Pelodiscus sinensis: one gene and its partners. The protein of the gene in region 4 binds, or shares a complex with, the protein of the main gene of each other region. Links are inferred from orthologs where the notes say so. Each region holds a gene or a part of one and is shown on either strand. Other genes may lie near its edges.

Region 1 (6,945 bases), on a different chromosome or scaffold from region 4:
TGTTAATAATGCGCCTGGGCAGACGCGGGGAAGGGAAAGATACACGGACGTGGAACCCAGGTGTCCGGGTTATCGACCCTGCCCTTCGCCCAGCTGGACCTCTCCCCTCCCAGAGCCCAGGGCCCAAGCCCACCAGCCCCACTCCCTCCTAGAGATGGGAGAGAACCGGCTCTAACCCACCAACCCCCCCCTTCCCAGAGCTGCAGAGAATCCAGGCGCCCCGGCTCTAACCCACCAACCCCCCCCTTCCCAGAGCTGCAGAGAATCCAGGCGCCCCGGCTCTAACCCACCAACCCCCCCTTCCCAGAGCTGCAGAGAATCCAGGCGCTCCGGCTCTAACCCACCAACGCCCCCCCCCCTCCCCTTCCCAGAGCTGCAGAGAACCCGGGCGCTCCGGCTCTAACCCACCAACGCCCCCCCCCCCCCTTCCCAGAGCTGCAGAGAACCCAGGTGTTCTGGGCTCCAACCTGAAGTGCAGCTTGCGGCAGGGCCGCTCGGCGTCCGTGGCTTTCACGCACTCCTCCTTGGTGCCATAGTCACAGAACTCCTGCACCTGGGCGCGGCCACGCGACCGGAACTTCTCCACGATCGACTGCTCCTTGGCCGTTGTGGTGTTCAGCAGCTCCAGGATCTCCTGGCTCACCTGGGGGGTGGGAGAGCAAGGAGAAGAACCCAGGAGTCTGGGGTTCCCTTCCCCCCCATCCCACTCTGCTCCCAGGTGTTGGGAGAGAACCCAGGAGACTGGGCTCCCAGCTCTAGATCCCACTCACTGTAGAGCCAGAGCAAGAAAGTCCCCTGGCTCTGTGCCCCCTGCCCTCCCACCTGAGCAGGGAGAGGACCCAGCATTGGATCCCCATCCAATGGCCAGGGTGGGACCCAGGTGTCCGGCTGGTACCTTCTTACTCTGCTGCTCCTTGGTGGACTGTTGGCTCAACAGGCTCTCAATCTCCAGGTCCAGGTCGGATGCCTGCTTCCGAGACTTCTTGGCCGGCTCCTTGGCCGGCTCCAAGGCGGCTGAGGCAGAGGGAGCAGTGCCGGCGGGGGAAGAAACAGCACCCCCAGTCTCCTGCTCTGCCCATCGCTTCTGGCCCCCAGTGCTGCCCTGCTCTGCAGGGCCCTTGCGCTCTGCCACGGCGCCCATCATGGCTGAGAGCTTGGAGTGGTCAGCGTAAGTGACCAGCGTGGGCTGCTCCTCATCGTCCTGCAACAGCCCCCGGCGCACCTCGATCAACTCCTGCGCCGCAAACTTCTGTAGAAGGCCCTCCACGCTGCGCTGGGTGACGGGCGCCTCTGGCTGCAGGACACACAGGGTGGTGGGGCAGGGCAAGTGTGGAGTCACCCCCCAAGTTACCCCCAGAGAGGGAGAGAGGGGTTAGCACGTCAGTGGATCTCCTGAGCTGGGGAAGGAGGGAACAGCCCAGGAGATGGGGAAGAGGGCTCTGCAGCATCAGTGGGGGTGCAGGGGAATGGGGCTGGGCTCTCACCGTAGAGATGGCCAGGCAGATGGAGAGGGCATCAGTGGGCAGAGCCAGTCCCAGGTCGGAGAGGTGCTGCAGCAGCTTCTTCTCCAGCTCGGGGTCCGTGGCCAGCTCCCTGGCGGCATTGCTGGGCGTGGGGGCTGCGGGCACCGGACTGTCGCTGCGGAAGGGTGACACCAGCTCTGGGTTCCTGAGATCTGAGGAGAGAAACAGGATGAGGCCAGGCAGCCTGCTGGGCCGTTGCTCCCACCCCCCCCCCCCCCCGCCAGGCAGCCTGCTGGGCCGCTGCTCCCACCCCCCCCCCCACCAGGCAGCCTGCTGGGCCGCTGCTCCCACCCCCCGCACCAGGCAGCCTGCTGGGCCGCTGCTCCCACCCCCCCCCCCGCCAGGCAGCCTGCTGGGCCGCTGCTCCCACCCCCCCCCCCAGGCAGCCTGCTGGGCCGCTGCTCCCACCCCCCCCCCCCCCCCCACCAGGCAGCCTGCTGGGCCGCTGCTCCCACCCCCCGCACCAGGCAGCCTGCTGGGCCGCTGCTCCCACCCCCCCCCCCCCCACCAGGCAGCCTGCTGGGCCGCTGCTCCCACCCCCCGCACCAGGCAGCCTGCTGGGCCGCTGCTCCCACCCCCCCCCGCCAGGCAGCCTGCTGGGCCGCTGCTCCCACCCCCCGCACCAGGCAGCCTGCTGGGCCGCTGCTCCCACCCCCCCCCGCCAGGCAGCCTGCTGGGCCGCTGCTCCCACCCCCCCCCCCCACCAGGCAGCCTGCTGGGCCGCTGCTCCCACCCCACCAGGCAGCCTGCTGGGCCGCTGCTCCCACCCCCCGCACCAGGCAGCCTGCTGGGCCGCTGCTCCCACCCCCCCCGCACCAGGCAGCCTGCTGGGCCGCTGCTCCCACCCCCCCCCCGCCAGGCAGCCTGCTGGGCCGCTGCTCCCACCCCCCCCCCCGCCAGGCAGCCTGCTGGGCCGCTGCTCCCACCCCCCCCCCCCGCCAGGCAGCCTGCTGGGCCGCTGCTCCCACCCCCCGCGCCACCTGGTGCCCTTTGCCCCTCCCCCGCGTCCTGCCCCTGGCCCCCACTCACACCGCTTGCCCTTTGACCCTGTGTCCCCACTGCCCCCGTGCCCTTTGACCCCAACTCCTCAAAGACACCCCACCCCCCACTGCACGGTGCCCTTTGACCTCTGAACCCTTACGGGTTCCTAATGGCCTTGTGCCCTTTGACCCCCACCCCGTGTGCCCTTTGAACTCCACTGACCCCACTTGCCTTCGCGCCCTTTGACCCTGCTCCTGCCCCCTGACCTCACTGCATCACTCGCGCCCTCTGACCCCGCGACCCCTCCCTGCCCTTTGACCCCCCGCAACCCACCCAGCGGATCCTGCTTCCGCCGCCGCTGGAGCCGCTCCCGCAGCGAGTCCAGCTGCTTCTTGTGGGCCTGGATCGAGCTCCACGTGTCCGACATGGTGCGGCCCCGCCGCCCTGCCCGATGCTGCGCCGCCGGGCCGCGAACCCGAGCCGCCGGAAGTGCCTCCGGGGGGACGGGGATAAGACGTGCGCACTTCCGGTTTCTGCCCGCACCGCGAAGGCGCCGCCGCCATAACGTCTGTTGGCAAGCGGGCGCCATCTTGGTTTCGGGTGTTGTGCGCAAGGCAGCCATCTTGGTTAAGGGTATCTTAAGCCACCATCTTGGTTATCTTTTTTTTTTTTTTTTAAATAAGGCGGCCATTTCATTTACTGGCAAACGACGGCCATCTTGCTTTTAAAGCCCTCCCACGGCGGCCATGTCTGGCTCTGGCAAAGTGCGGCCGGCACCGTGGCTAGGGACGAAAGGCGCCGTCTTGGCAGCCATCTTTGTTCCTGGCACTGGCTCGTCATAGGCGTCCCCTGTAGGTGGACTCCGGCCAGCCATGCTGGGGGTTAGGCGCCGGGGCTGCAGCCCGTCAGTGGTGTCTCACATGAAGGCAGGGAACAGAGGGTGTTGCCACCGCCCTACTGCGAAGCCATGGTGGCCATGTTGGTTCCTGGCACGGTCCTGACTGCCATCCCTGCAGGCGCATGAAGGCGGCCATCTTGGTCACTGGCAAGAGGGTGTGAAGCCAGGCCCATCCTGGCACGAAGCAGCCTGGTCCCGATCCTGGGGGCTGATAGACACCATGTGCTCTTCCTCCAGCGCTGTGCGCCCCCAAACAGTGCCCCCTCCCCCACATGCAGCCACCTGTGGGGGCAGCTGGAGAGGGCTGGGTGACAGCACACTCATCCCCCCTGCCCCTCTGCAGTTCACCCCCTCACAGGGGTCCCGACTTCCCCCGCTGCGGGCCACTGCTGCCAATGGGAAACGGGGAAGCGCTGCATTGCCGGCTTCCCATCCCAACTCTGCCAGACCTGCTGGCCTCGAATCCTCCCCTAGCTGCAAAGAACTCCCCAGCAGCCCTGACTTTAGCCTGGGGCTGGCAGGGGGCCACTCTCCCTGGCCACAGGGCAGATGCATGTGGGGGTCTAGTCGGGGGGAAGAGAGGCAAATCACAAGAAGGGCAGCAGGGTTGGACGGAGAGGGAAGGCTGGAGGGGCCCTGCACCAGAGGCAGCTGGGGAGCATTATGGGAAGCTGGCAAGGGAGGGGCAAAGACCCAAGCCAGGAGAGGGGGTATCTGTAATTTGCTGGGGAGCCTGTGCAGCATCCTCGCCCCCAGGAAACATGTACCCCTTGCTGCATGTGAATGTGTGTGTGTCTCTCTCCTGCCCCCTGCCCGGTGTGTGACCGTGCTAGGGGCGTGTATATGTGTGTGTCTCTCCTGCTCCCTGCCCGGTGTGTGACCGTGCTAGGGGCGTGTATATGTGTGTGTCTCTCCTGCCCCCTGCCCGGTGTGTGACCGTGCTAGGGGCGTGTATATGTGTGTGTCTCTCCTGCTCCCTGCCCGGTGTGTGACCGTGCTAGGGGCATGTATATGTGTGTCTCTCTCCTGCCCCCTGCCCGGTGTGTGACCGTGCTAGGGGCGTGTATATGTGTGTGTCTCTCCTGCTCCCTGCCCGGTGTGTGACCGTGCTAGGGGCGTGTATATGTGTGTGTCTCTCCTGCCCCCTGCCCGGTGTGTGACCGTGCTAGGGGCGTGTATATGTGTGTGTCTCTCCTGCTCCCTGCCCGGTGTGTGACCGTGCTAGGGGCGTGTATATGTGTGTGTCTCTCCTGCTCCCTGCCGGTGTGTGACCGTGCTAGGGGCGTGTATATGTGTGTGTCTCTCCTGCCCCCTGCCCGGTGTGTGACCGTGCTAGGGGCGTGTATATGTATGTCTCTCCTGCTCCCTGCCCGGTGTGTGACCATGCTAGGGGCGTGTATATGGGTGTCTCTCCTGCTCCCTGCCTGGTGTGTGACCGTGCTAGGGGCGTGTATATGTGTGTGTCTCTCCTGCTCCCTGCCCGGTGTGTGACCGTGCTAGGGGCGTGTATATGTGTGTGTCTCTCCTGCCCACTGCCCGGTGTGTGACCGTGCTGGGGCCTGTATATGTGTGTGTCTCTCCTGCTCCCTGCCCGGTGTGTGACCGTGCTAGGGGCGTGTATATGTGTGTGTCTCTCCTGCTCCCTGCCGGTGTGTGACCGTGCTAGGGGCGTGTATATGTGTGTGTCTCTCCTGCCCCCTGCCCGGTGTGTGACCGTGCTAGGGGCGTGTATATGTGTGTCTCTCCTGCTCCCTGCCTGGTGTGTGACCGTGCTAGGGGCGTGTATATGGGTGTCTCTCCTGTTCCCTGCCTGGTGTGTGACCGTGCTAGGGGCGTGTATATGTGTGTGTCTCTCCTGCTCCCTGCCCGGTGTGTGACCGTGCTAGGGGCGTGTATATGTGTGTGTCTCTCCTGCCCACTGCCCGGTGTGTGACCGTGCTAGGGGCGTGTATATGTGTGTGTCTCTCCTGCTCCCTGCCCGGTGTGTGACCGTGCTAGGGGCGTGTATATGTGTGTGTCTCTCCTGCTCCCTGCCCGGTGTGTGACCGTGCTAGGGGCGTGTATATGTGTGTGTCTCTCCTGCCCACTGCCCGGTGTGTGACCGTGCTGGGGCCTGTATATGTGTGTGTCTCTCCTGCTCCCTGCCCGGTGTGTGACCGTGCTAGGGGCGTGTATATGTGTGTGTCTCTCCTGCTCCCTGCCGGTGTGTGACCGTGCTAGGGGCGTGTATATGTGTGTGTCTCTCCTGCCCCCTGCCCGGTGTGTGACCGTGCTAGGGGCGTGTATATGTGTGTCTCTCCTGCTCCCTGCCCGGTGTGTGACCGTGCTAGGGGCGTGTATATGGGTGTCTCTCCTGCTCCCTGCCTGGTGTGTGACCGTGCTAGGGGCGTGTATATGTGTGTGTCTCTCCTGCTCCCTGCCCGGTGTGTGACCGTGCTAGGGGCGTGTATATGTGTGTGTCTCTCCTGCCCACTGCCCGGTGTGTGACCGTGCTAGGGGCGTGTATATGTGTGTGTCTCTCCTGCCCCCTGCCTGGTGTGTGACCGTGCTAGGGGCGTGTATATGTGTGTGTCTCTCCTGCCCCCTGCCCGGTGTGTGACCGTGCTAGGGGCGTGTATATGTGTGTGTCTCTCCTGCCCACTGCCCGGTGTGTGACCGTGCTAGGGGCGTGTATATGTGTGTGTCTCTCCTGCCCCCTGCCCGGTGTGTGACCGTGCTAGGGGCGTGTATATGTGTGTGTCTCTCCTGCCCCCTGCCCGGTGTGTGACCGTGCTAGGGGCGTGTATATGTGTGTGTCTCTCCTGCTCCCTGCCCGGTGTGTGACCGTGCTAGGGGCGTATATATGTGTGTGTCTCTCCTGCTCCCTGCCCGGTGTGTGACCGTGCTAGGGGCGTGTATATGTGTGTGTCTCTCCTGCTCCCTGCCCGGTGTGTGACCGTGCTAGGGGCGTGTATATGTGTGTGTCTCTCCTGCCCCCTGCCGGTGTGTGACCGTGCTAGGGGCGTGTATATGTGTGTGTCTCTCCTGCCCCCTGCCCGGTGTGTGACCGTGCTAGGGGCGTGTATATGTGTGTCTCTCCTGCTCCCTGCCCGGTGTGTGACCGTGCTAGGGGCGTGTATATGTGTGTGTCTCTCCTGCCCCCTGCCCGGTGTGTGACCGTGCTAGGGGCGTGTATATGTGTGTGTCTCTCCTGCCCACTGCCCGGTGTGTGACCGTGCTAGGGGCGTGTATATGTGTGTGTCTCTCCTGCCCCCTGCCTGGTGTGTGACCGTGCTAGGGGCGTGTATATGTGTGTGTCTCTCCTGCCCCCTGCCTGGTGTGTGACCGTGCTAGGGGCGTGTATATGTGTGTGTCTCTCCTGCCCCCTGCCCGGTGTGTGACCGTGCTAGGGGCGTGTATATGTGTGTGTCTCTCCTGCCCACTGCCCGGTGTGTGACCGTGCTAGGGGCGTGTATATGTGTGTGTCTCTCCTGCCCCCTGCCCGGTGTGTGACCGTGCTAGGGGCGTGTATATGTGTGTGTCTCTCCTGCTCCCTGCCTGGTG
Region 2 (7,419 bases), on a different chromosome or scaffold from region 4:
TGAGAGAATTCACAGGGAGGGAAAGCATAAAGCATGCCTGTGCTGTCTCTGCTCTTTGCCCCTCCCACAGGCAGGCTGATCACCCCAGCAGCCTGCTTCTGTTTCAAGTAAGAGACCAGATTCCTGAGAAGCCTTCGCTGCAAGCCAGGCTCAACAGGAAAGGTCCCTTCAGCCCCTACCCCTCCTTGGGTGGCTTGGGTAGCCAGTAGCACAGCATAACCATTAGGACTGCCTTGTTTAATACGGCGAGTTACTTCATCCAGCTTGGGCTGGTCAAGCCGAAGTCTTTGAGCAATCTTGAGCTGTGTTAACTTCCCACCAGATGAATGGTCTTTTAAGAGCCCACTGATTACACCTAGGTCTCCCTCCAGGATGTGCATAGACGTGGGGAAGCAGCTATTTTTTAGCACAAGAAGCCCATTCCAAGCAAGTTGCAGTGTCTGAGCATATTCTGACAAGTTCTTTACTTTTTTGGTCTCAGATTTTGGCTCCTCGTGAGTTTTTGATTCCGATTCACCAGTCCGATGATTGCGTTCGCTGTCCCTTTTTTTAGGTTGAGGAAGATCAGAAGTTTCACGATGTGGTTTCTCCTCAGATACGTGCCGGTTGTTCTGAAGGGAGTTACTCTGATCCCTCTCTGTTCCAGACTCTGTAGTGTTGTTCTCTTTGCGAACCCTGTCTGGGCTGCGATCTAAAGCTGGCCCACTGGCCTTTGTCCTGCCTCTGTCCTCATAAGGCGAATGAGTAATCCTGCCACGGTCACTGGAAAGACTCCGGCGTTTCCGCCTTTCTTCCCAAGGCTTGGGCACACTGCGGTCACTGTCACTACCCCAACGTTCTCCGCTTCGGCTACGCACAGATCGGCCGTAGCTCTCCAAGTTATTTCTTCGCTCAGCATTTTTGGCAGGACTAGCCCAATCTGCCTCTGCAAAGCTCCTGTCTCTATCTGAGTACAGGAGATGTGGAGGAGTCCTATCTCTCACCCTTAAGTCTTGCTCTAGGCTTCTGTGCCTGCTATATCCATCAGGTAACAGCTCGTAGTGCACTGGGAGTGGTGCAGGCTGGTACTGCTGGGGGTATCTTGTCTCTTCAGCTTTGGCAAAATCCACTCTAAGTCTCCTATCCGGTCCACCCAAGGGGAAGCCCCTCATCTGCGCACAAGCAGCCTGGGCAGCATCCAGGCTCTCGTACTGAATATAGGCAAAGCTATCCCCCTTCACATAATCAATAGTCCTGATGCTACCAAAGCGATCAAACTCTCTAGCAAGGGCAGCCAAGGATGTGCTTGGTCCAAGGCCACCCACCCAGAGTCGTGTAGTAGGATTGGCTTTTCCATAGCCAATTTTGATGGGGTTCCTGCCAACAACCCGGCCAGACATGGCGACCTTGGCCCGGTGGGCCATATCCAAGTTCTGGAACTTGAGAAATGCATAGGCCCCACCTTGGCCTCGAGCAGGGCGCTTGATCACCACCTCCTCAATGATGCCGTACTTCTCAAAAGCACGTCTGAGCTCCACCTCTGAGACATTATGATCCAAATTCCCAATGAACAGATTTCGAGTGGCTCTCTGGTCATCCTCTGGCATCAGATCTTCCTCAGCCACTATGGGGTAGCCATAGGGTCGGCCACGCTCATCATACAACCCGTAATAATCCAGTGCCCTCTCCCGCTCCCGGGAGAGCCCAAGGGCAGCAGCCTCCAAGGCGAAGGCTGCAGCGGCCGCATGAGCATGCCGGGGCCGTGGCTCCCTCAGCAATGGGCTGGCAACAGGCGACAGTGACCTCTGTTTATACTGGTAGGTGCTGTGGATGGGTGGCAGGTAGCCCAGAGGCTCTGGGGAGGGCACAGGCGGGGGTGTGCGGCTCCTGCGACCCCCACGCAAGTACACAGGCTCCACTTTGAGGGGACGGTCGTAGAGAAGCAGCTGCCGGGCCCGGGCGTGCCTGCGGGCATCACGGGCGTCCCCCGGGTGCCGGAAGTTGACGTACGCGACGCGGCCCAGCTCGGGCGTGTGGGAGAGCTTGACGCTGATGTCGCCGGCGCCCCCGCTCGCGAAGCGCTGGAACTGGCGGAAGAGCCCGTCCTCCAGCAGCTGGTCGGGCAGCGCGGTGCTCAGGCCGCTCACCAGCAGCGTCTTGTACTCGCAGGAGCCGGGCGGCTCCACCACCAGCCCCGGCGAGCCCCCCAGCGGGGCCAGCAGCAAGGAGGGCGCCGCCCCCGGGGGCGGCCCGGCGAGCAGCAGCGACGGCGCCACCACGGCCCCCGGCAGGGCCTTGGCCTTGGCGGCCCCCAGCGCCCGCGACGACGACGAGGCGGCGGCCGGGGGCGCGGCCTGGCTGCTGCGGGCGCTGGAGGCCGAGGCGCCGCCCGCCGCGCGGTGGTTGGAGTCGCCGCCCCCGGCCCGCTCGTCCCCGCGGTGGCTGCGGGAGCTGGAGGCGCCGCCGGGCGGGAGCTTGTCGCGGCTGCTGCGGGAGGCGCCCGAGCTGCGGTGCGGGCCGCGCCGGCTGCTGCTCTCCCGCTCGCGCTCGCGGGGCCGCTTGGCGGCGGCCCGGCCCCCCCCCGCGCCGCCCGGGCTGGGGTCCCGCTCGCTGCCCCGCTTCATGGCTCCGGGGCCCGCGGCTCAGCAGGCGCCTCCGGCGGCCGCCGCCATCTTGGACAAAAGGGAAGGAAGGCGGCTCCGGAGTCCGGCCGCCGCGCCGCGCGGGCCACACGTCATCTCCCCGCGCCCCGCTGCATGGCGGCGTCAGGAGCGATGGCGAGTTGGGGCCGCGGCGCCTTCATCACGTGACAAGGGAAGCCCTTCCGTCGTCCGCGGGGGGGAGGAGTCACGTGATAGACAAGGACCAATGGAGAAAGCGATCATTACGTCCTCGCCTTCGGACGGGACCAACTGAGAGGGAGCCGCAGGGGAACTAAGGGCGGTGGCCGGCCGGGCCTTACGCATCCAGGCAGCGGCCATAGCGCTCCTCGCCCCCCACCCAGGGCGGGGCGAACCCTGTGGAACCGGCCTCGTGTATCCAGCCCCTCCCACGCCGGACCCCGCCCCGCCCCGCCCGCCTCAGCGCGCGCCCAGGCGGCCTGTGCCGCTCCCCCCCCCCCGCGGCGCAGAGAGAGACCCGCTTCCTTTCACACTTTAATACAAAAGTCTCCGCGGCGGCACCACCCGCAGGCGGCCCCGCAATACAAAGGGGGGGGGGGGGGAGACGAGCCGGTCACCCCGCCCGGCCTGGCCGCCCGCTGCAATAACTTACAAAAAGGGGCAAGAGGGACCCCACCGAGAACAGCGCAATGGGGGCGGGGGGGGGGGGGGTCAGAGATCCGTCCGGGAGCTGGCGGCCTTCGGAGCGTACTTAGGCATCAGTTCATTGATTTTGCGAATATAGTCTGACTTCTCTGCACAGCCCTTGCACGTTTCCCCCCAGTCATCCAGGATCTTCTTCAGCTCCTTCACTCTCAGTTTCTTCAGGTCCACAGTGCTCAGGTCAATCTGCTTGTCTGAAGAGTGAGGGGGGAACATTGGTTATTCAAAATGAGTAAAAACAAGCCTATTACAGGCGGTCAAGATTAACTAGATAACATATTAATGAAGTGGACAGGACAGTAAAGTGTGTTTGAGTTTTGTCCCCTTCAGTGGAGAAGGCCTATTCTTGAGGACATTAAAAACAAGGCACTGCCTCACTGATACAATCTACATTACAATGAATGGAATATAAAAACAGAAAGGAAGGGGAGAGGAAAAGGGAAATAAGATTTAAACAAACATACCAGGGGTGTTATTTTGCAATGAGGCAGGCCAACAAGATGACACGAAACTGAAGACAATTTTACACATTAGGACATATGGAATCAGTGAAGAGGCTGGCACGTTATACTGCTTTAGTCAGAGCTAGGTAGGGTTGTTGCTTATCAGTTCCAGGGAATTGGTGGGTGCTGGAACAGCGCCCCACCTGCTGCAGGCAGGACCCTGCCTCAGTTCCACAAGGGGCCTGCTGTGGGCAGGGACTGTTCTCATCTGGAACAGCCTGGCTGTGTCTAGACTGACAAGTTTTTCTGCAAAATCATCTGCTTTTGGGGAAAAACTTGCCAGCTGTCTACATTAGCCACTTGAATTTCCGCAAAAGCACTGACGATCTCATGCAAGATTGTCAGTGCTTTTGGCGGAAATACTATGCTGCTCCCATTCGGGCAAAAGTCTTTTTCCAAAAGACTTTTGCGCAAAAGGGCCAGTGTAGACAGCAGAGATCTCTTTCCCACAAAAAAGCCCCGATGGCAAAAATGTCGGGGCTTTTTTGCAGAAAAGCGCATCTAGATTGGCCACAGACTCTTTTCCGCAAAAAGTGCTTTTGCGGAAAAGCGTCCTGCCAATCCGGATGCTCTTTTCCAAAAATGCTTTTAACGGAAAACTTTTCCCTTAAAAGCATTTCCAGAAAATTATGCCAGTGTAGACGTAGCCCCTCTGTCTATGGGGAGTCCAGGCGCCCCACAGAAAGGGGCTGCTCTAGCAGAAGGTGGAAGCTAGGACCTGGTGACAGACCCAGCCTCAGTGTGGGGCTGGGGCCAGGAGCTGCTCCAGCTGGACTGAAGCAGTCCCCAGCCCGGATTCCAGTTTAGTCGTTAAACCGGTTAAAGGTTAGGTTGACCTAACCTTTAACTGGTTAACCAGGATTTTACATCCCTAGTGAGAGCAGCAGAAGAGGAAAGAATATTTTGAGCAGTTTTGTTGGAGCAGAACTGGAAGGCAGACTTTTAGGGAATCAAGAGGGACCATTAAAAATGAAAATTAGTCTCTTGTAAATATCTTTAGATAGGATTTGGTAACAAGAAGCTTGTAGTCAACACTAGGGAGGGTGAACATGTACATGTGTACTGGGTTAACCAGTGAGGCTCATCAGTTAATGTGCACAGTTACATGGTCCCACCTGCCCCACTGCCTCTGTATGCGGTTTCACGGTTACCTGAATAAATGCATTTAACAACTGCAGCCAATAGCCTTAGGCCTAGTTAATCTGTAATGAGGCTGGGTTGTTCCCCACAAAAATCTTTCCTATGTACTATTCTACACTCCAAATAAGAGTCTCCCAACTAGAGGCCAAGGGCTAAAGGCACAAAGGGGACTTAGGCCTTTGCTATGCTCACTACTGCAGTGCTGCACTGCTCAATGGCATTCATGGCCCCCACACATTGTATGAGGAGAGACACACACAAGAAAGGGACTCTTAGAAGCCAACAAGCTAACCAGGAAGCTGCCCAAGACAGCCAAGAGCAAAATGAAAAATGTGCTCTGAGCACACCTGCTGGATTGGGCTCTTTAGGCAAGACAGGTGGGAGCCAGCTTATTTGAAAATCCTGGCAGGGCTCCATGCAACTTGTTAGCTGTGGGACAGTATTAGGACTTAGGCAGCAGCCAAGCAGTGGTTTTGTGAACATCAGTGGTGCCTTCATGATGGACCTAGGCAGCTAGGGGACTCACTGAGAGTCTAGGATTTTACCTAATCCCAGGCATAAACAATGTTGCAGCCTAGATAAACCGATGTCTGTTGAAGAACTCCGAGTTGGATGTAAGCAAGTAGTCAACTATCACTATTGGCTACTTGCTCATCACCTTCCCCCCTCCACTTCAGCTCTGCAATATTAAGGGACAGGGTGCAAGTTCGTTACTTATCAGAACAAAGAACCATACTGTAGAAAAGCCCAACTATTTAACCACTTAGCTAATGTCTGCCCAAACTCACCATATTTTAGCTCACAGATCTGGCTGTCTTTCTTCTTCAGTTTCTCACAGATCTTCTCCACAGGGATGTGGTGACTCAGAGGTTTTGATACCTCATTAACCATTTTGGTGGCTGCATCACTGGTGGCCCCAAGGTAATAGCACTACAGTGGAAGAAAAGAATGAGGTGTCTAGTGATACTGAGGGAAAAGGATGCTTCAGAAGGATTCAGCTGATTTTTTTGGTTGCCTCCTCCCTCCCTCCCAAACACCCTGAGTTTTCTGCTTTACAAATCTCTCAGTCTTGCCATGCTTCTACCCGAGAGTGTTTTATCCAGTGGAGGTATCATCTCCAGCCTGATTCTGGCCTGCATATTTATACCTGCCTCTGGAAATTTCCACTACATGCATCTGACAAAGTGGGTCTTTACCCATGAAAGCTTATGCTCCAACACTTCAGTTTGTCTATAAGGTGCCACAGGACTCCTCGCCACTTATCCAGTGGAGTAGACAATACTACTGGTAAAGACTCTGAACCCTGCTGCTTTGGTTTGGATTTCTAGAGCGAGCTAAGTGAAGGGGGGGGGGGGGGAAGGGAATAGGAATAGCAGCCCCATGTTCACTCTACAGCCTGGAACACCTTAGCACCATAAGGAGCAGAGAGAACACGCTGCGAAGAAATGGCTTATCTGGCCTTTTCTCAAGCACATTTTGAACAGATGAGGTTGCAGCATTTGTTGGTAGAGAATATTTCTGCACAAGTCCCAGTACTACTATGAGAAAAGTGGACTTCACATTATGTTGAGGATGGTGGTCCTATTTCCTCCCTCCCCTGCCCGGTTATGTTTCATCTGAACTGAGCTGAAGGCAGTTTTCTCAGTTCAAGAACAGCTTGTCTTAAGTATGTCCCTAAGGATGCCTGACAAAGTCAGCGATAGTTCTCTTCAGAGATCAGTGGGCCTTTCTACTTGGGACATTCCATTTTGAAACCATTCTGGACTGCTTTCAATTAGCACTTTCCTCTGCCCATTTCCCTGTTCAAGGGTTGATAAGCATACATATTTAAACATAGTTTGTACAGAATCTAGATGCATCACGTAATGCTCAAGGGGTGCTGTAGAAAATTAAAATTTCATAAAAAAAAGCTCACTGCCCTTCAGTTACAGGGAGAAATTAGGTCAACCAACGGAAAACTGGGTTTTTTTTGGTATGGTGGGGAGGGACTGCATCCCTCCTCAAATCTTTCCTGTGTAGGCCTACACTGTACACACAACCAAGCAAGAGACTTTCCCAGTTTCTACACACTTCTACACTTCTACTACTATAATCTTAAGGATTATTTTGCAAAAGAGATGGTGATAGATTATTATAGTTTGAAACTGCATAATCCGACTTCCCTTGTCCAGCAACACCCCTGTCCCGACAATGTAGAGGTGACCCTGTGAGAATACTCAAGGGGATAAGCTGTTGAGCTGAGGCCAGGAGTGCTGCCAGACTAGGGAGCCAAGAGACCCGCTGGGAGAAGCACAGAGCCCCTGGTCACCAGGGCTAGAGCAGCAGTCAGCGGAGTAGCTGTACAAGCCCCCGGCAGCAGTGGGAGTCCCTCAGGTGGCAGCAGAGATGCTGTGGGAAGAGCATGAAGCCTGGGGAGGAGGGTGAGGGGAGAGCACGGAGCCCCAGAGGGTAGCAGAGCCATTGGGGGAAAAGCA
Region 3 (7,918 bases), on a different chromosome or scaffold from region 4:
GACAGCCTGCATCCGTACATTAAGCTGGATTTGACCAGTTGTGATGGAAACTTCCAAGAAATGTGAAGATGCAGCAGCAGAAGTCCCATTAAATAAGTCTGTGAGTATCATGTTTCATTGGTGCTATTATTAATCGTTATGTCAAATAATAATATTAAGTTATATATTTTTAGTCATGCAAAGGGGCATTCTTATACGAATGCTCTTTGTTGACCTCCTGTTCTGAATTTTGATGCAGTTTGGCTCTTTGGTTTGAAAAGGTTGCCAGCCTCTGCCCTAGATATTACCCTTAATATGACTGTGTATTCCCCCTCACCAATTGGGTTAATGTTATCAATGCACAGGACAGATGCACAAGGGACAGAATTCATGTTGCATGAGTAAATTTAAGTCTGGCATTTCTTAACTTTGGGGTTGACGGTCCAAGCTGAAAACTCTCTCAATAGTTTTTTGTATGCGATATTATGTATACACCTCCGCCTATTGCTGAACCATGTCAGACTTTCTATATCAGAAATACATCACAAGTGTTAGCATTTACAATCTGAGAGGTTTACAGAGCTGACTGATAGCACTCCTGTAGTCAACATTTTGAGAAGCAATAACTAACTTCCTCAAAACTAATGTGATATCTATAGCAGCATGAAGGAGAATCAGGCTATCGTCTAGACTACAATGTTTTACCAGAAAAACGTACACTAATTGCACTTCGCAATTTGTGTACTTTTTTCCAATAGTTTTGTTAGAAGAGGCTTTTCTGAAATTTGGCCCAATTTCGGGAAAAACTGTCTTTTGGAAGAGCTCTTCTTCGGCATCTGAAAGAGCGCATCTGCTCTTCCGCAAAAAAAAAAAAAAAAAAAAGCAGAAGAGCAGATGCATTCCCTGGACATAGCCTCAGAAGTCACCCTAAATTTGTTTTGTGCTGGAATACCAACTGGTTGTTTTAAATTGCTTACTGTTTCATTGCCATATGTACTTGGATACAGAAAAAAGCAAATTAAAGAAGAGCAAAGCAACAATCATATAACCATTTCAGCATGAGGTATCTAACTCAGTGTACAGTTACTCCAGACTTGTTTGTAAGCTCACCATCATCCCCAAAACACTAACCACAGTACACAGAATGTTTACTAAAAAGTTTGTAATTTTCTGAAAGAGCACAACAATGCCATTTTCTACAAGAACAATGAAAGTTATTTTCAAAACTAATCTTTAATATAGCCTACTAAAATAAACACTGAATTTATGTTGATATTTTGAATAATTTTATTTACTGCCATGCTGAAGAACAACACCTCTTCATTCAAAGATTAATTCTGGTGACAAATGGTACCTTGTCAAGTTTCTAGTCTTCTACTTTTGCTCTCAGAAATATCAAAATACAAATAAGCAAAATACAAATGTATGCATTAAGACTGCCAACTGGAACATGCAATAAGTTTATTGACTATGTAATTTTTTTTATAATTATAAGCTGATTGGAGCAGATGTTACTTGACCATAGATGTGGACACATGAACTAAAAAGCTCAAGCTTAAACATCACAATGTTCAGTTTTATCTGATATGCTACTTTACAACACGGTCATAATTTCTGTAGTATTTTAAGGAATATGCAATATTAAAACAAGTTAAATGACAGTTAATAGCAATTGTTTTAGTTAAAACCAGGAGCCCCTCCTCCTTGTAGGAGGAACAGCCTGGAGCCGTCAGGAATTTTTTTAATACTTAGCAGGTAATTTTGATACGATGCTAAAGGCTCTTGATACTTTGCGTAGAAGCCACCATTACAGGTACGAAGCCTCTGAAGCAAACTACAAAGTGAGGCCACGGATTAGCAGAAATATCGGCGCCGCCTCAACTTTAGGCTCGGTGGGTAGAGTCCCCCCGCCCTGCCGGAACCACGCACGGAGCGTAAAGCTAAGCGTGTGCATCAGCCTCCGCGAGACAGGAACCTCCACACTCGGCCATTGCGCCCTTCCGCCACGGAAACCGCGCGGCTCCCCCACGGCCCTCTGGGGACGCGCGCAGCCAGGGCGCAGCGGACGCTCCGGCAGCAAGAAAGGCCATTTGACAGCGGGGCGCACAGGCCGCTCCCTGCGGCGGGGCCGAGGAGCATTGGGGGGGAGGGAGTAGAGCCCCCGAACGGCTCCAAATCCCGCCTACGCTGCGCTCGGCCCTTCCTAGCCGCTTTCGCCACAGCCTGAGCGGAGCCAGCCCAGACGCGGGGTGGGGACAATGGGCGCCCCCGGGGTCGGGCCTCACGCACCGAGCCCCGCTCTCGCCTGCGTCTCTCACAAAATGGCTCTAGGTGCTGCTGCGCTGCCCTCCCCCCTAATCCCCTCCCGCCGTAAGTAGCGGCCGGGCCCCCAGGCTCAGCACCCCGAGCCCCCAGAGCAGCGGGGCGGGAACACCCTGGTGCTCGGTGCGCTCCAGCAGCCACGTCCCGCGAGGAGAAAACGGCGGCGGCGGCCTGCGAGGGGGAGGCCGCTCGGTGACTCACCTCCTGCTCGCGGCGCGGAGGCCTCGCTCTCCCCGCGCACTGACTACCAAAGCCCGGCCCGTCGCATCGAGGGCAACACCTTCAGCGCCCAGAAACGGGGCCCTGCGGTCGCCGCCTCCCCTAGCCCGCGCCGCCGCTCGCTCTTTATTTGCAGCTTCTCTGCGCTACAAAATGGCGCCGGAGGAGGAAACGCGAGCGCGGCCGCCCCGCCCCCGGGAGGAGCCGTTGCTCCAGCAGAGGCTGCCCGAGCCCGCCGCGCGCGCAGGGAACGCCGGGAGGAAGGGCAGCGGCAGCAGGACCCACCCGCGAGCTCTCCTGTCCCGCGCCGCCCTCGCTCATCCGGCAGCCTCTTTCCCCCAGGCCTGGGCTACTTCCTGAGCGCTCCTCCTCCTTCGTGCCGCAGCCCGGCCTGGAGCCCCCGGCGTCTCGCTCTGGTGCGGCGCTTAGCCTGGCAGTTGAACCGACATCGCACGGGCCGGGAGCGTATCTGCGGCGCGCGAGGGGGACGAAGGGGACGCGGAGGGATACAGCCTCCCACGTAAACTACCTGCTGAAGTGAGGGTTCGGGCGGAAGGAGACCGCCGTCCAGGATGCAGGAAGGCGTAGCGCTATTGGCCGCGAGCCCAGCACGCTTCCCCCTCCCCCCCCCGCGGGGAAGCCCTGCTTATCTCCACCCTCCCCCTGGGCAGAGCAGAGACTTTCCACTGCCCGGCAGGTCCAGAACATGCACCAGCAGGGGGGCCAGTAAAAGGCATGACCTTGCCCTTTGTGTTCTCGCGCATTTTGGAGCCCTTCCCCCTGCCCCCCATCGTCTTTTGGAGCCAGCCTTGGTGTTGCCTTTAAAGGGTCACCGAAAAAATAAAATATGCTCAGAAGCAAAGTTACTTACTGCTACTAACCAGCGTACTAAACAAAAAGGATTCTTTAAAACGTGATTTTTCACCATGTATGTTGCATGGTTTACTACCTGTTGCCTAGTCAGTTTAATATATTGGTTAGTTTCAGTGGTCCAGTACAAGGTTGCAGGCTTCAGGCAGTAAACTGCAAGGAAATGTTTAGATCCCATTAGTGCTCAAAAGAATAAACATTTTTTTGCTGATTTTAAAAACTGGAAAACATTGCTTAATGCTGGACTTAAAGTAGAGTTTGAGTTTGAGCACGGCAAATTATAATGCAAGGACTAAAAAGCATGCACAAATATATTTGTCCCTAGAGGGCAGATCTGATTTTCCCTCCATACAAATCAGTCACTGTGTTTATCAATATTCTAATCTATGTTCTCTAGCAAGTTGTTTTGGATATTATTTTCTTTTTAATCCCACCTCTCTCTCTCTCTCTCTTTGTGCCTTTCATATAGCAGATCGATGATCTTTCATATTAAATTGTGCTTTGCAAATTGCTTATTTTTTAATATTAAATCATATGGGTAGAGTAGTAAAATGGTAGTGACCCCCTAGCACTACCCGTATATTTTAATAAAATAAAAGCATCTGGTGCAATATCAAAGTATTATTGAACAACCAAAGAAAAAACTCAACATTCTTGGTGAACAATGAATTAAGATTTTGATCACAGAATTAGAACAGGGTATGATACTTAACATTTTTTCTCCATCTCTCTCACCCAAATCCAGTTTCATGTACAAACACCTAGTGTACTGACAATGTAAGTAATACCATAAAATAAATTAATTTCTGGTCATCACCCATATTTAATTTGACTACTTCTAAATCTTCTTGTGGTATAATGTGCAGAAAATTGAAGGGAGGGGGGCTCACCTGTTTTATGTCACTCTTACCATGTAAAACAGAGGCCTTACATATTATATATGCAGGAATGGGTCTCTGCTCCTATAGAATTCAGGAGATCCACAAAAGTGGAAAATCTACAGCTGACCAGATCCTGTGGATAGTAAATAGAGTGACATGCAGGAATCAAAGCACAGTTTGTGAGCATCTCACACACTCAAGAAAAACTGCATATATCAATATGGTGGTAAGTGCTTCAACCTCTTTTGAAAGTCTCACTGCCAAAAAATGGGTGATTACAAAGACCAAGTGAAAAATGAAAGGTATGCACCATTACAAGTCAGCTAATTCCAAACACCATAAAATAAGAACTAAAAGCCACAATTAAATTAAAGAAAATATTAGAAACTTTATTGGAATCCAGAGACAGAATGAGTTGAGACTAATCCGGAATTGATCAACTTTAAGTAAATTACATTAATAGAAGTTACAGAAAGTAAGTTAAAGCAAGATGGTTATGACAGTTGACATTAAACCTAAGATTTTAACATGAAGTATTTAAAGTTTTATCAAGTAGCAATAATGAAACTTTGTTAAATCATTTCATAAATTCTCATCAAAATGCAGTGATTTTAGTAATTATGACACTTGGAGTGTATTAAAGGCTCAAAGGATCCTTAAAGTGCTGTGACGGGGCAGGCACAGGGTCCGCGCCGCCCCGCACTGAGAAGGGGAGTCCGGGAACAGGAGTCCCGGCCGAGACGACCGTCGGCCCGCCGCGTTCCCCGGCGCCGGGCGATGACGTCACCGGAGGCGACGGGGAGAGTGCGGGGAGGGGCGGGGCCTGGAGTCACGGGACCACGCCGGCCCCGGCGCCCGCAGGGGAGCGGGCCATTCAAAGGGCACCGGACCATGGACCGGGGGAGAGGAGTGCTGGAGGCAGGACAGAGGAACCGGGTCTGTTGGGAGACCCTGGGGAGGAGACACGGTACTCGCGGCGGCTGAAGCCTCACCCGCGACAGGGACTCCGGGTGAGTCTATCCCCTTGCTGGGGGGAACGCGCCGAACAACCGGCCGGGAAGAAGTGACCCAGGGCGGGGCCGTGGTCCCCGCGAGTGGAGGGTTTGGGGGGAACGTAACCCCCTCCACTGACTAGGGACTAGCGTCCCCGTCTTAGGGCCCTGGGTCGGGGCTCGGAGTGAGGGAGGGCCCGAGCCCCCTTCCCGGCGTCTGCGAGCCAGTGCGGGCTCCGGCATCCCGCACGGTCGGCCGGGAGCTACGATCGGTCAGAGGGCCAAGAGTCCGATCAGCTAGGAAGGACGAGGGTCACCCGAACTCGGGGTGACCACCAGGGCACAGGGTTACAGGTGGTGGAGAATGTGGGCATGACCTGAGCCCCGGTTAAGGGGGCACATATATACTCACTCGGAAAAAAAAAAAAAAAAAAAAAGAGAAGAAGAGAGGGGGGGGGGGGCCTAGAGGTAAGGGAGCGAAACAGGTCGGTCCTCCCGGGGGTAGGGTCCTTCCTCTGGTTATAACAAGCTAATTTCCCCAGGGATAATGGAGCTGAACAAAGTAGTGGACTGGCTAATAGATAACCAGAAGCAGTGGCAGCAGCAGCAGTCGCAGGCGCTGCAACAGGTCCTGGATAAGCTCCAGGAGCATCAAGCTGCAACTAGCATGGCCGGTGGGGGCGCGACACCGGCGGGAAACGACGAAGACGTAGTGGGCCGCCAACTCCCCATCAGGCTGACGAAGTTGGGCCCTGAAGACGACCCAGAGGCCTTCCTGGTAACCTTCGAACGGGTGGCGTTGGCGGCGAAATGGCCACAGGACCAATGGGCAACGCTCCTAGCTCCCTACTTGTCAGGGGCGGCCCAACTGGCTTACCGAGGAATGTCCGCAAGAGACGCGTTATGCTACTATAAGGTAAAGGAGGCCATCTTAGATCAACTAGGGATCTCCCCGGAATTCCACCGGCAAAAGTTCCGCGAGGCCCGGTACGGCCCAGGCGAACGCCCGCGGGCCGTGGCTCAGAGGGTACGGGAAGCGGGGATGCGCTGGCTGGAACCCGAAAATAAGTCCGGAACGCAAGTGGCCGAGGCGGTGATCTTAGAACAGTATGTGAAGATCCTCCCAGCCGAGGGGCAGCGTTGGGTGAGACGACACCTCCCAGAGACTCTCGAGGAAGCCATCACCTTGATGGAACGCTTCCTTGCCGCCGAAGGAACAGTAGCACCGCGCCCCCGCACCGGGCCACGAGAACCACATTCAGGAGGCCTTGCCCCAGCGAAAAGTGGCGCAAAGACATACGGCCCCAGAACACCGGCAGGCCCAACCATGGGACGAGGACTAGCGCCCCGGTGGGACCACCCGGAGGGACGAACCCCAGAGGCCGGAGGGCCAACCGGAGTGACGGAGAGGAACCCACAACCCGAAGGAGGAACCAAAGGAGCCTGCTACCAGTGCGGATAGGAGGGGCACTTTAAGAAAGACTGCCCCATGATGGATTGCACCTTCGGGCAAGGCCCCACGCGAAAGGTAACCCGGGGCGAACAGGGGCGGAGGCAAATGTTGCATGAGATAAGGGTTAATGGACGCCGGGTGAAGGCGGTGCTAGACTCCGGGTGCGGGCAAACGATAATCCGAGCCAACATCCTGGGGTCCCAAGTGCCCCGGGGGCCGAGAGTATACATGAAATGTGTACATGGGGATATCCACCCCTATGCGACGACAAGGGTGGAAATTGATGATGGGAGGATAAGGGACTCATGTATAGTCGCAGTGAGCCCCAATCTGGCATACCCCGCGTTGCTAGGCAGGGACTGGCCCGGACTGGGGTACCTACTAAGTAATTGGGGGTTGGAACAACGGAGCAAGAAGGGGGAAAGGGACAAAAACCCCAGGTTTGCAGCTCACGGGGAGGAAGTAGACGACCCAGACGCCGGAGAGGAGGGGACGAACGGGACAGAGACACCAATGCCCCACCTGGACCTGGACGAAGGTGATTTCCTCGCACTCCAGAGAGAGGACCCGACCTTGCAACACGCGTGGGCTCAGGTAGGAGAAGCCAGAGACACCGGAAGAGGGGGACAGGGTCCCCGGTTCGAGGTGCATCAGGATCGCTTGTTCCGGGTCACTCCACAAGAAGGGGGGACGGAGGTGAAGCACCAGTTGCTCGTGCCAAAGCCCTACCGGGGGGGGGGTGCTAGAGCTTGCCCACGATCACACCTGGGCTGGACACCTAGGAACAGAAAAAACACAGCACCGGGTGCTCCAGAGGTTCTATTGGCCTGGGGTATATCAGGACATAAAGAATTATTGCGCCTCATGCCCCCAGTGCCAAAAGACGTCACCTACAAGGGTGCCTCCGGCGCCTCTTATACCTTTACCCATCGTAGGGACGCCTTTCGAGCGTATCGCACTAGACCTGGTGGGGCCACTAGAAAAGTCCAGCAGGGGCTATATCTACATACTCGTCATTATAGACTACGCCACGCGATTCCCCGAAGCCGTCCCCTTGAGACGAGCAACCGCGGGGGCGATAGCTGAAGAGCTAATGAGGCTATTCTCGCGGGTAGGCCTACCAAAGGAACTATTGACAGACCAGGGGATGAATCTAACGTCCCGAATAATGACAGAGTTATGCAAGCTTTTACAGGTACGAA
Region 4 (7,898 bases):
ACCCTGTTCATAAAAATATTATGTATTAGCAGGGATCGACAAATAGTGTAATCTACTCGCTCGCCTGTGGCACCCCAGAAGAGCTGGCACGGAACAATCTGCGCATACATAAAGTGCAGAACTGTGCAGCTGGCGAGCAGAGCTCGCCGCCGCTCGGCGAGCCCTGTCTATTAGGGATATTAAATATCAGTTAATGGAATAGTCAAGTAACCTCATGAATTCTTATCAGTCAACTATTCTATAGTCCCTCATGGCGGGGCCAGCAGCCAATGTACTCTGACCTCACTCCCACGAAGACCCTTTTCATGTGGGAGCTGGTCCATGAGAGGAGCCAGTTTAAAAACCAGCTCCCTTGGGGACTGGCTGCCTGTTACCCTGTGCTGCTGCGTCTGATAAAAAAAAAGCAGCAGTGCAGGTGGCAGCAGCCCCTGTTTAGGGGATGGCCTGAGGTCCCAGACCCGCACAAGCCGGAACTGGGCTGGGCTACCTGCCTGCCTCCTAATACACTTTAAATGCAGATCCGCAGCAGGGGTAGGTCCTGAACCTGTCACAAGCCAGGCTGTTGGCCAGCCTGCTAAAAAATTTACTGGCAAGTGTGTGGAGGAGGAGGAAAAATGCATGTAGTTTATAGCATTAACCTATAAGCTTTTGCTTATCAGTTAATCAACTACACTTTTACATCCTTATTATGTATCTATAGTACTGTAGCACCTATAATTGCTAATGATGGATCTGAATCCTTCTATGCTAGCTGCTGTACATACAGAAAAAGACAGTCCATGTCCCAAATAATTTACAGTCTAAGACTCAAGTATAAGACAAGAGAAAACAGAGAAACACAGAGAGGTAATGAGACAATAATGATAGCATGATGGGTAGTGGCCTCAACTTATTAGCATGCTAAGCACTGTGAAGTTTCTTGTAGGCCCTGCAGCAAAGAATTTTGAAGAAGAGTAACAAGTTAGCTCTGCTGAAGTTTACAGGGATCAACTATGATTATAATTTAAAATATTGTGTTTTTCAAGGAATGTACCTGTCAGGTTTGTAGACATATAAAAACAACAAGTAGTCCTGGGGCACCTTAAAGACTAACAAAAATATATATAATATCATGAGCTTTTATAGGCAAAATCCACTTCTTCCAGCCAGGCTGCAGCAGCTCCCCATGGTGCGGAGGTCCTGGCCTTGCCAGAGCGGCCCTCCACCCGCAGGATCCCATTTAAGTGGATTTTGCCCATGAATGCTCATGATACTATATATATTTGTTAGTCTCTAAGATGTCACTGGACTACTTGGTTTTTTTTTAAGTTACAGACTAACACAACTATCACTCTGAAACGTATAAAAACAGTATTGTAAATTATTCCCGCCTGTCTTGAACCTTTAACTCCAGGTCTCTTGAAGCTAGGACAGGAATAAACATGCTAGACAGCAAAGATCACCACAAAAAACAAGTTTTGCTATGAAACACTTTGAAACAAAAGTTTAATTAGTTTTACGTTTAAAATATGGACAGGGCTTGTAGCTGAAATGTAAAAATGTTTAAGGGAAGAGGTTCAGAATATTCTAAACAAGGTAAAGATTAAAACTAAGCCTTTTCAATGGGACTTTGCAATCCAATCCCCTTGTTAGTAGCTACAGTGGTCCATCACTGGGCAGGTCTACAGAGGCTGGAAGAGTTACAGTGGCTGAACTGTTCAGCCCTAGGGAAACGTGTCCTATGCTATTCTAGATTGACCCCTGCTGGCCAATTTCAGATACGACTGATAGTCATATTAAAAGATTACTGAGATCACCAAAAATACTAGTATAGTAGTGCCTAAAGACCTCAACAGATCTCCCTGTAATAGACACTGTACAAAACCCATAGCAAGTGACAGTACTCCCTTCTTTTTGGATTCACAATCTGAAAAAAAAAGCCAATTCAACCTTGTCACTATTACAATAGAGACAAAAAGTAAAAAGCACACAACAGTAAACAGTTCCTACTTCTATGGGAGGAGGATGCACTGGCTGAACAGTTTACACACTGCAACTATATTTTAACTATGATATCAGGTTTGGACAGAGAGGCAAATGGAAATGGTGCATCATAGAGGCAAGATTACCAATTGTAGATGTTCCCCATATTGGAAAATCATTACTCATTTTTTATAATAAAATATTTTCTTTTCATATGCACTCGTGGGCAGCCAATTTCAAAGAGCAATGCTATTTTACAGCAGAAGTCAAAAGCGGGAGTCTGCCTGTTCTGACCAGCTACAGAAAAAGTGCAGCACGTTATACAAACGGTATATTCCTAGACCTTAGCAGATACAGCGAGGTGCTCCCCATCCGCAGCCACTTGCGCCTCTGCTAACTACACGCCGAGAACCAGAGTTCGTTCAAGGCGTCCTGATCCTTTAGCCCGACCCCAGGAACCTCAGCCATTGCTACGGCAGGGAGGTGTAGCCGGGGTCTGCTGCAGCACCCCCGCCCCGCTCCATAGCTGCGCGGGCGGCGAAGGGGACCGCGCCTCCCCGGGCCAACAGTCCCAGCGGCCTTCCCCGCCCGCTCGGGGCCGCGCCGAACGAGGCCGGTGGGGATCGGTGCCCGCTCCCCGGCAGGGCCCGGCGGAGGCTGGGGCTCGCGGTCAGAGTGGAGGCTCGGGGGCGCAGGGACGGCGGAGCCCGGCCGAGTCCCCTCCACCCGTACTATGGGCCGGCGGCGCTGGGGTCCAGGCCGCACTAGGCCCCAGGCATCGGGCCGCTCCTCCGGCCCGCTCCCCGTGGGGCCTCCCCGTGTCCGACTGCCCAGGCCACACCACGCACTGTCCGGGCCAGGCCCGGCCGGGCGGGGACGGGTATAAATACGGCTCCCTCCCTCTCCCCTCCTCACCATTGTGGTCCATGATTCGGCGCGGGGCAGCGTGGGAGCGGAAATCACCACGCCGGAAGGGCGGCACCGGAAGCGCCTGGACAGCGGAAGCGGAAGCCGTCGCCGCCAAGGGGCGGATGGTCAAGTAGGGGAGAACTGAACTAAGCCGAGACCCCGCGCTTAACGGGAGGGCTGCGGGCCTCGTTTCGGTGGGCAAAACGAATAAGCCCCACGTGAGCTACATCTCCCAGTATGCACCGCGGTCCCGGGCAGGGACTGTGGTTCCTAGCCCATCGCATGGGGGGGGGACTTTTTTTTTACTCTGGCATGCTGGGAGCTGTAGTCCCGTGACTTGCTCTCCGCCACGGGCCGCGCTTAGGGACTGCTGGCAGCCCGCAGAGAGTCTGAGAAGGTTCGCGCCCTGCGCGTCTCTGCGAGCGCCCCCCGGGGGGAGAGGAAGGGCTTGACCGACAGGCCCAGGCTGCAGCCCCCATCCCGGGAGGGAAGAATTGAGGCTAAATTGCAGGTGATGCCTGAGGGTATTTACGACATTTCTTTCCATGGCTCTGCTGCTCAGCTCTGGTGAGACAAGTCTCGGAGTTGTAGCCTTGCTAGTCTGTAAGCCTGCGTCTACTCCTTGCAGCTAATTTGGGCCATCGGAGGTATCCCAGAATAGCTGCCCTGCGTCTTAACGGCGTGCCTGTTATTTGGAAATATATAAGGGGCTCGCTATTCTGACGTCTTTTAACCCTTCTTCCACAAAGAAGAAGGGACATTTCGGAATAGCGAGTTATTTTGGTGCTGCGTATACAGTGCCAAGTTATAAGATAAGCTATTTCAACATTTACTCAGAATAAGATATGCAATTTGTGTAGCTCAAATTGTGTAGCTTATTTCACGCTGTGGGTGCAGTGTAGATGCACCCTAACTGGGGGCAGAGGCTGCGATGCCACTCAGCTGGGCGCTTTGCTTTGGCGAGGTGTGAGCCCTTAGGGTTCCACCAGTGGCTCTCTTAAGTTTCGTCTGTAACCACTTGATCAAGACACCAACTTTGGGGTCTGACTGACTGCAGACTCTCCTTCTATTGCATGGCTCTGGCAGCTTGTTCATTATGAAAAAAAGCAAAAGTTAAAAGACTAGCAGAGAGAGCGCTCCTCCCTCCTCTCTCCCCCTGCCGCCCCATGGCTATGCTGACCATATGTTCTGGGTTTTCCAGGACAGTCCCACATTTAAATCTGAACTGGTGGCCACGTAAACACTAAAAATGTGCTGGAAACAGCAGCGCAGCTAGAAGCAGCTGCGCACTGCTGTTTCCTCTCCCTCCTGCAGGAATGCAAGTATGCAGGGACCTTCCTAAAGATTTTTCCTTCTGCTCTAGAACCTAGCCAATATGAGCAGAAGGAGGCGGTGCCTGACTTCTGGTCCTCTGTTCTCTGGCAGACAGATAGTCCTGTTGGGAACCACCGGTAAAGCAGCAGCATGTAAGTGGCCCCACTTTCCCTCCCAGCCTGCCTTCACTGAGACCCCACTGCTGCTCTCCCCTTTAATTTTAGTAAGAGCCATGTGGGTCGTCTTAGATTTAAAAGGGCAGAACCACATAGTAACCTGGCTTCAGCTGAGCTGGTAATCAGATGATTCCTGGTTCTGCACAGAGCGCCGGCTTTGTCCTGCTTTACAAATCTAAGAGCCCTGTGGCTTTTCTTAAATCAGTGGTTCTCAAAGTGCAGCCCAGTGGTCCGCAGCTGGAGCTCAGCTAAGCTCCCTCCCCCCTCCACTGGGATAAAGGTGACTAGAGGGGCGCTGGCTGGGATTGTATATTTCAGCTCTTGCAAGCTGGTGCCAGGTTGGGCGCCTGAGGCAACGGGAGGCTGGGGCAAGTTATGGCTGTGAGCAGCGCTACAGACAGCGAGAGGCAATGCACAACTCCAGGAAGGGGGCATTGCAGGCTAGGCACCCTGCACCTGCCCATGTGGGGAGTTGTTGGCATCAGGTATCCACTGTGGCAGGAGCTGCCAGGGTTGTGTGGACTGCCTGCACGTGGGACTTGTCTCCCACGGCAACTTCTCTGGAGTCTTTTGTCCCAGCAGCAGGCAAGTAAAGTTTTAGCCTGATGCGGACTGCAGTGCCTTTGGTGCGGGGCCCCTTGTGGCCAGGCTGTGACAGACTTGACATCAGAGCAGCACCTGATGTGTGGACGGGCTCCACGTAGGCATGTGTGGGAGCCTGGCCTGGGTTCCATCGTGGTGCATTGACTCCCAATCCAAGCACCCACCTCACCCCTTATTGGGACCCACCAGCTTGGAGTGGAGTGGTTGAGATTGCAAATCACTGATAGGAATGTTACATTTAGATTAATTAAATAAGTGAATAGTCAATAGAATTTTCATCAACTATAGGAAGAGCAACAAGAATGATTAAAGGTCAGAGAACATGACCCATGAAAGAAGACTGAAAGAATTGGGCTTGTTTAGTTTGGAAAAGAGAAGATTGAGGGGGGACATGATAGCGGTTTTCAGGTATCTAAAAGGGTGTCACGAGGAGGAGGGAAAAAACTTGTTCTTCTTGGCCTCTGAAGATAGAACAAGAAGCATTGGGCTTAAACTGCAGCAAGGGAGGTTTAGGTTGGACATTAGGAAAAAGTTCCTAACTGTCAGAGTGGTTAAACACTGATATAAATTGCCTAGGGTGACTGTGGAATCTCCATCTGTGGAAATATTTAAGAGACATTTATCTAACCTACTATCAGGGATGGTCTAGAACAGTGGTTCTCAAGTTGTTTCAGTCCACGGACCACTAGGCCAATCAAAAATTTTTTGTGGACCACCTCATTTTTGAGACATGATAAAAAAGAGCAGACAAATATTTTGGTTTGAAACTTATTTCTTACTAACAGATTTTTGGATTCTCTTCTCACTGACAAGCTTTTCAATGTTTGGAGTGGTACTTGATAATGCACAATGAATATCGCTTTCCACTGCAAGCCGATTCCTCTGTTTGGACTTAACATGCAACAAACACAAAAATCCAGTCTCACACATATAAGTTGATGCAAATGGCAAAAGAAATCTGACTGCATGTGCTGACCGATTTGGGTAACTCCCGGTCACGCTGGCCCCAAACTTCTCTATAGTAGACTGCTGGTACATGTCTTGAGCTGCAAAATCATTTTTCAGATCCAAGAATTCCTCCTGCAGATCCTCTGAAACACTGTTAACATCTGTTGTAAATGGATTCCTGATGAAAGATAATCCATCCCTTGTCCTATCCACCTCCAAAAAGTATCGTTGGAATTCATCTCGTAGCTTCCGTAAATGATTGAGAGTTTGCATCCAACTGGCTTCCTTTTCCCCGACCATGGCATCCACATATGGAAATTAAATCAAATTATTGCCTTCAACTCTTACGATCCAGAGTTCCAATTTGTCAAGAAAAGCCTTGACGATGCATTGGTGAGAGAACAGATTTGCACCTTTCCCTTGCAGCTGAAGATTCGGTTTGTTCAAGATTCCAAAAATATCAACAAGATACACAAGTTCTAAATTTGATGGTGTCAGCACATTTCGGAATTCCTGTTTTCCTTGAGCCTAGAGAAATAAATCCAACTCCTCTCTCAACTGAAAAACTCTGTTGAGTACGTTCCCTGCTGACAACCACTGTAGAGAAGTGTAGAAAAGCAACACATCAAAGTCGGAACCCATGTCCAGGCAAAATCTTTTGAACAGCCTGGTGTTCAGCACTGATGATTTGATGCGATTCACCACTTTCACCAACCCTTTGAAAATGGTGTTCAGTTGATCAGGCAATGTTTTTTGATGCCAAAGCTTCCCTATGAATGAAACAATGAGCTCCGGTTACCATAGGAGCGTGCTGTTCACCAGCATTTGGAAGCCCGATCTTGAGCCCAGCATGGCAGGTGCACCATCAGTGGTGACACCCACAAGATTTACCGAATCCAGACCATGTACTTCAAAAAAATTGTTAACAATTTCTATCACATCCTGAGCCTTTGTGGTGGTATCAGGAGTCTTACAGAAACTCGTCTTTGAAGTCTCCCTCAACCATGTATCATACGAACACCAATAGCTGAGAGCACAATGCGACGTCGGTCGATTCATCCAATTGTATGGCAAACAATGGAGACTTCATTTCATCCACTACTTGTTCACTGATGTTCTGTGATATCTCATTTATCTGTCTCAATACTGTGTCATTAGAGACAGATATATCATTCAGCTTCCTTGCTGCTTCCTTGCCAAGAACAAGCTGCACCATCCCTTTTGTACAGGGGAGCACAAGTTGCTCTACAATGGTGTCATGGCTCCTTCCCCACTCTGGCACGATAAATGCAGAAGTGGGGGCCAGAAAAAATACCCCAAAACCTTATCTACCAGGCTTTGGTATAAAACTTCCCCCTAAAATCTTAACAACCTAGATTTTTGGGAATAAAATCCTTTGCAGACACCACCCAAGTAATAATAAAGAAATCAGGGGAGAAATCACTTGGGAAATCTCACCCCTAAAGTAAAAACCAGGACACATAATTAACCAATACCAGGTTAATAAAAAAGAAAAGAGAAAGCTTTTATTATCACCATAATCTTCCTGTTGCAAGCATAATGACTAGATTGAAAGGTAACAACATATACTTTCATGGAGAGACTCCATTGACCTAGAACTTAATTACAAAGAAAAGCCAAAACATTGTGTAAAAGTGCACAAACATCAGATCCCATACCCAACCCATAAAATAATAAAACCTAATGGATTTATCTAAACTTTATCCTACTTACAGAAAGTGAAGAATAGTTTCTTAGAGAGAGAGAGAGAGAGAGAGAGAGACATGTCTGTCTCCCTCAGAAGCTGGAGGGAACTCCCCAGAACAAAGGAGGGAAAAACCAAAATTTCCTTTGGTCCAGTGTGACGGACCGGGCCGTGTCTGGGCACAGCTGAGGGCGTCCGCTCAGGGCGAACTGCTCGAATCCGGGGCTACTTACAGCCCCCGACTGGTGACCTCTCCACACAGGCCACAAACCAGTCTCACA

What was found.
Region 1: CBLL1 (region 4) and METTL3 share a complex: the UniProt entries of both Homo sapiens proteins name them as parts of the WMM complex. The link is inferred for Pelodiscus sinensis from reciprocal best matches to the Homo sapiens genes CBLL1 and METTL3.
Region 2: CBLL1 (region 4) and RBM15B share a complex: the UniProt entries of both Homo sapiens proteins name them as parts of the WMM complex. The link is inferred for Pelodiscus sinensis from reciprocal best matches to the Homo sapiens genes CBLL1 and RBM15B.
Region 3: CBLL1 (region 4) and WTAP share a complex: the UniProt entries of both Homo sapiens proteins name them as parts of the WMM complex. The link is inferred for Pelodiscus sinensis from reciprocal best matches to the Homo sapiens genes CBLL1 and WTAP.

The regions. Positions count from the first base shown.
Region 1 is NC_134740.1:757,281-764,225, reverse strand, and holds the start of METTL3 (N(6)-adenosine-methyltransferase catalytic subunit METTL3), read right to left. Parts: upstream 3,018-6,945; 5' UTR 2,932-3,017; coding exon 2,838-2,931; intron 1,676-2,837; coding exon 1,485-1,675; intron 1,295-1,484; coding exon 896-1,294; intron 644-895; coding exon 468-643; intron 15-467; coding exon 1-14. UniProt on the Homo sapiens protein: The METTL3-METTL14 heterodimer forms a N6-methyltransferase complex that methylates adenosine residues at the N(6) position of some RNAs and regulates various processes such as the circadian clock, differentiation of embryonic and hematopoietic stem cells, cortical neurogenesis, response to DNA damage, differentiation of T-cells and primary miRNA processing.
Region 2 is NC_134721.1:43,355,572-43,362,990, reverse strand, and holds the start of RBM15B (putative RNA-binding protein 15B), read right to left. Parts: upstream 3,001-7,419; 5' UTR 2,604-3,000; coding exon 1-2,603. Other genes in the region: MANF (mesencephalic astrocyte-derived neurotrophic factor), read right to left, coding at 3,312-3,496, 5,734-5,875. UniProt on the Homo sapiens protein: RNA-binding protein that acts as a key regulator of N6-methyladenosine (m6A) methylation of RNAs, thereby regulating different processes, such as alternative splicing of mRNAs and X chromosome inactivation mediated by Xist RNA.
Region 3 is NC_134713.1:113,548,691-113,556,608, forward strand, and holds the start of WTAP (pre-mRNA-splicing regulator WTAP), read right to left. Parts: upstream 3,008-7,918; 5' UTR 2,842-3,007; coding exon 2,806-2,841; intron 2,678-2,805; exon of another isoform or gene 2,503-2,677; intron 1-2,502. UniProt on the Homo sapiens protein: Associated component of the WMM complex, a complex that mediates N6-methyladenosine (m6A) methylation of RNAs, a modification that plays a role in the efficiency of mRNA splicing and RNA processing.
Region 4 is NC_134711.1:27,032,992-27,040,889, reverse strand, and holds the start of CBLL1 (E3 ubiquitin-protein ligase Hakai), read right to left. Parts: upstream 3,017-7,898; 5' UTR 2,891-3,016; coding exon of another isoform or gene 2,878-2,890; intron 1-2,877. UniProt on the Homo sapiens protein: E3 ubiquitin-protein ligase that mediates ubiquitination of several tyrosine-phosphorylated Src substrates, including CDH1, CTTN and DOK1. Targets CDH1 for endocytosis and degradation.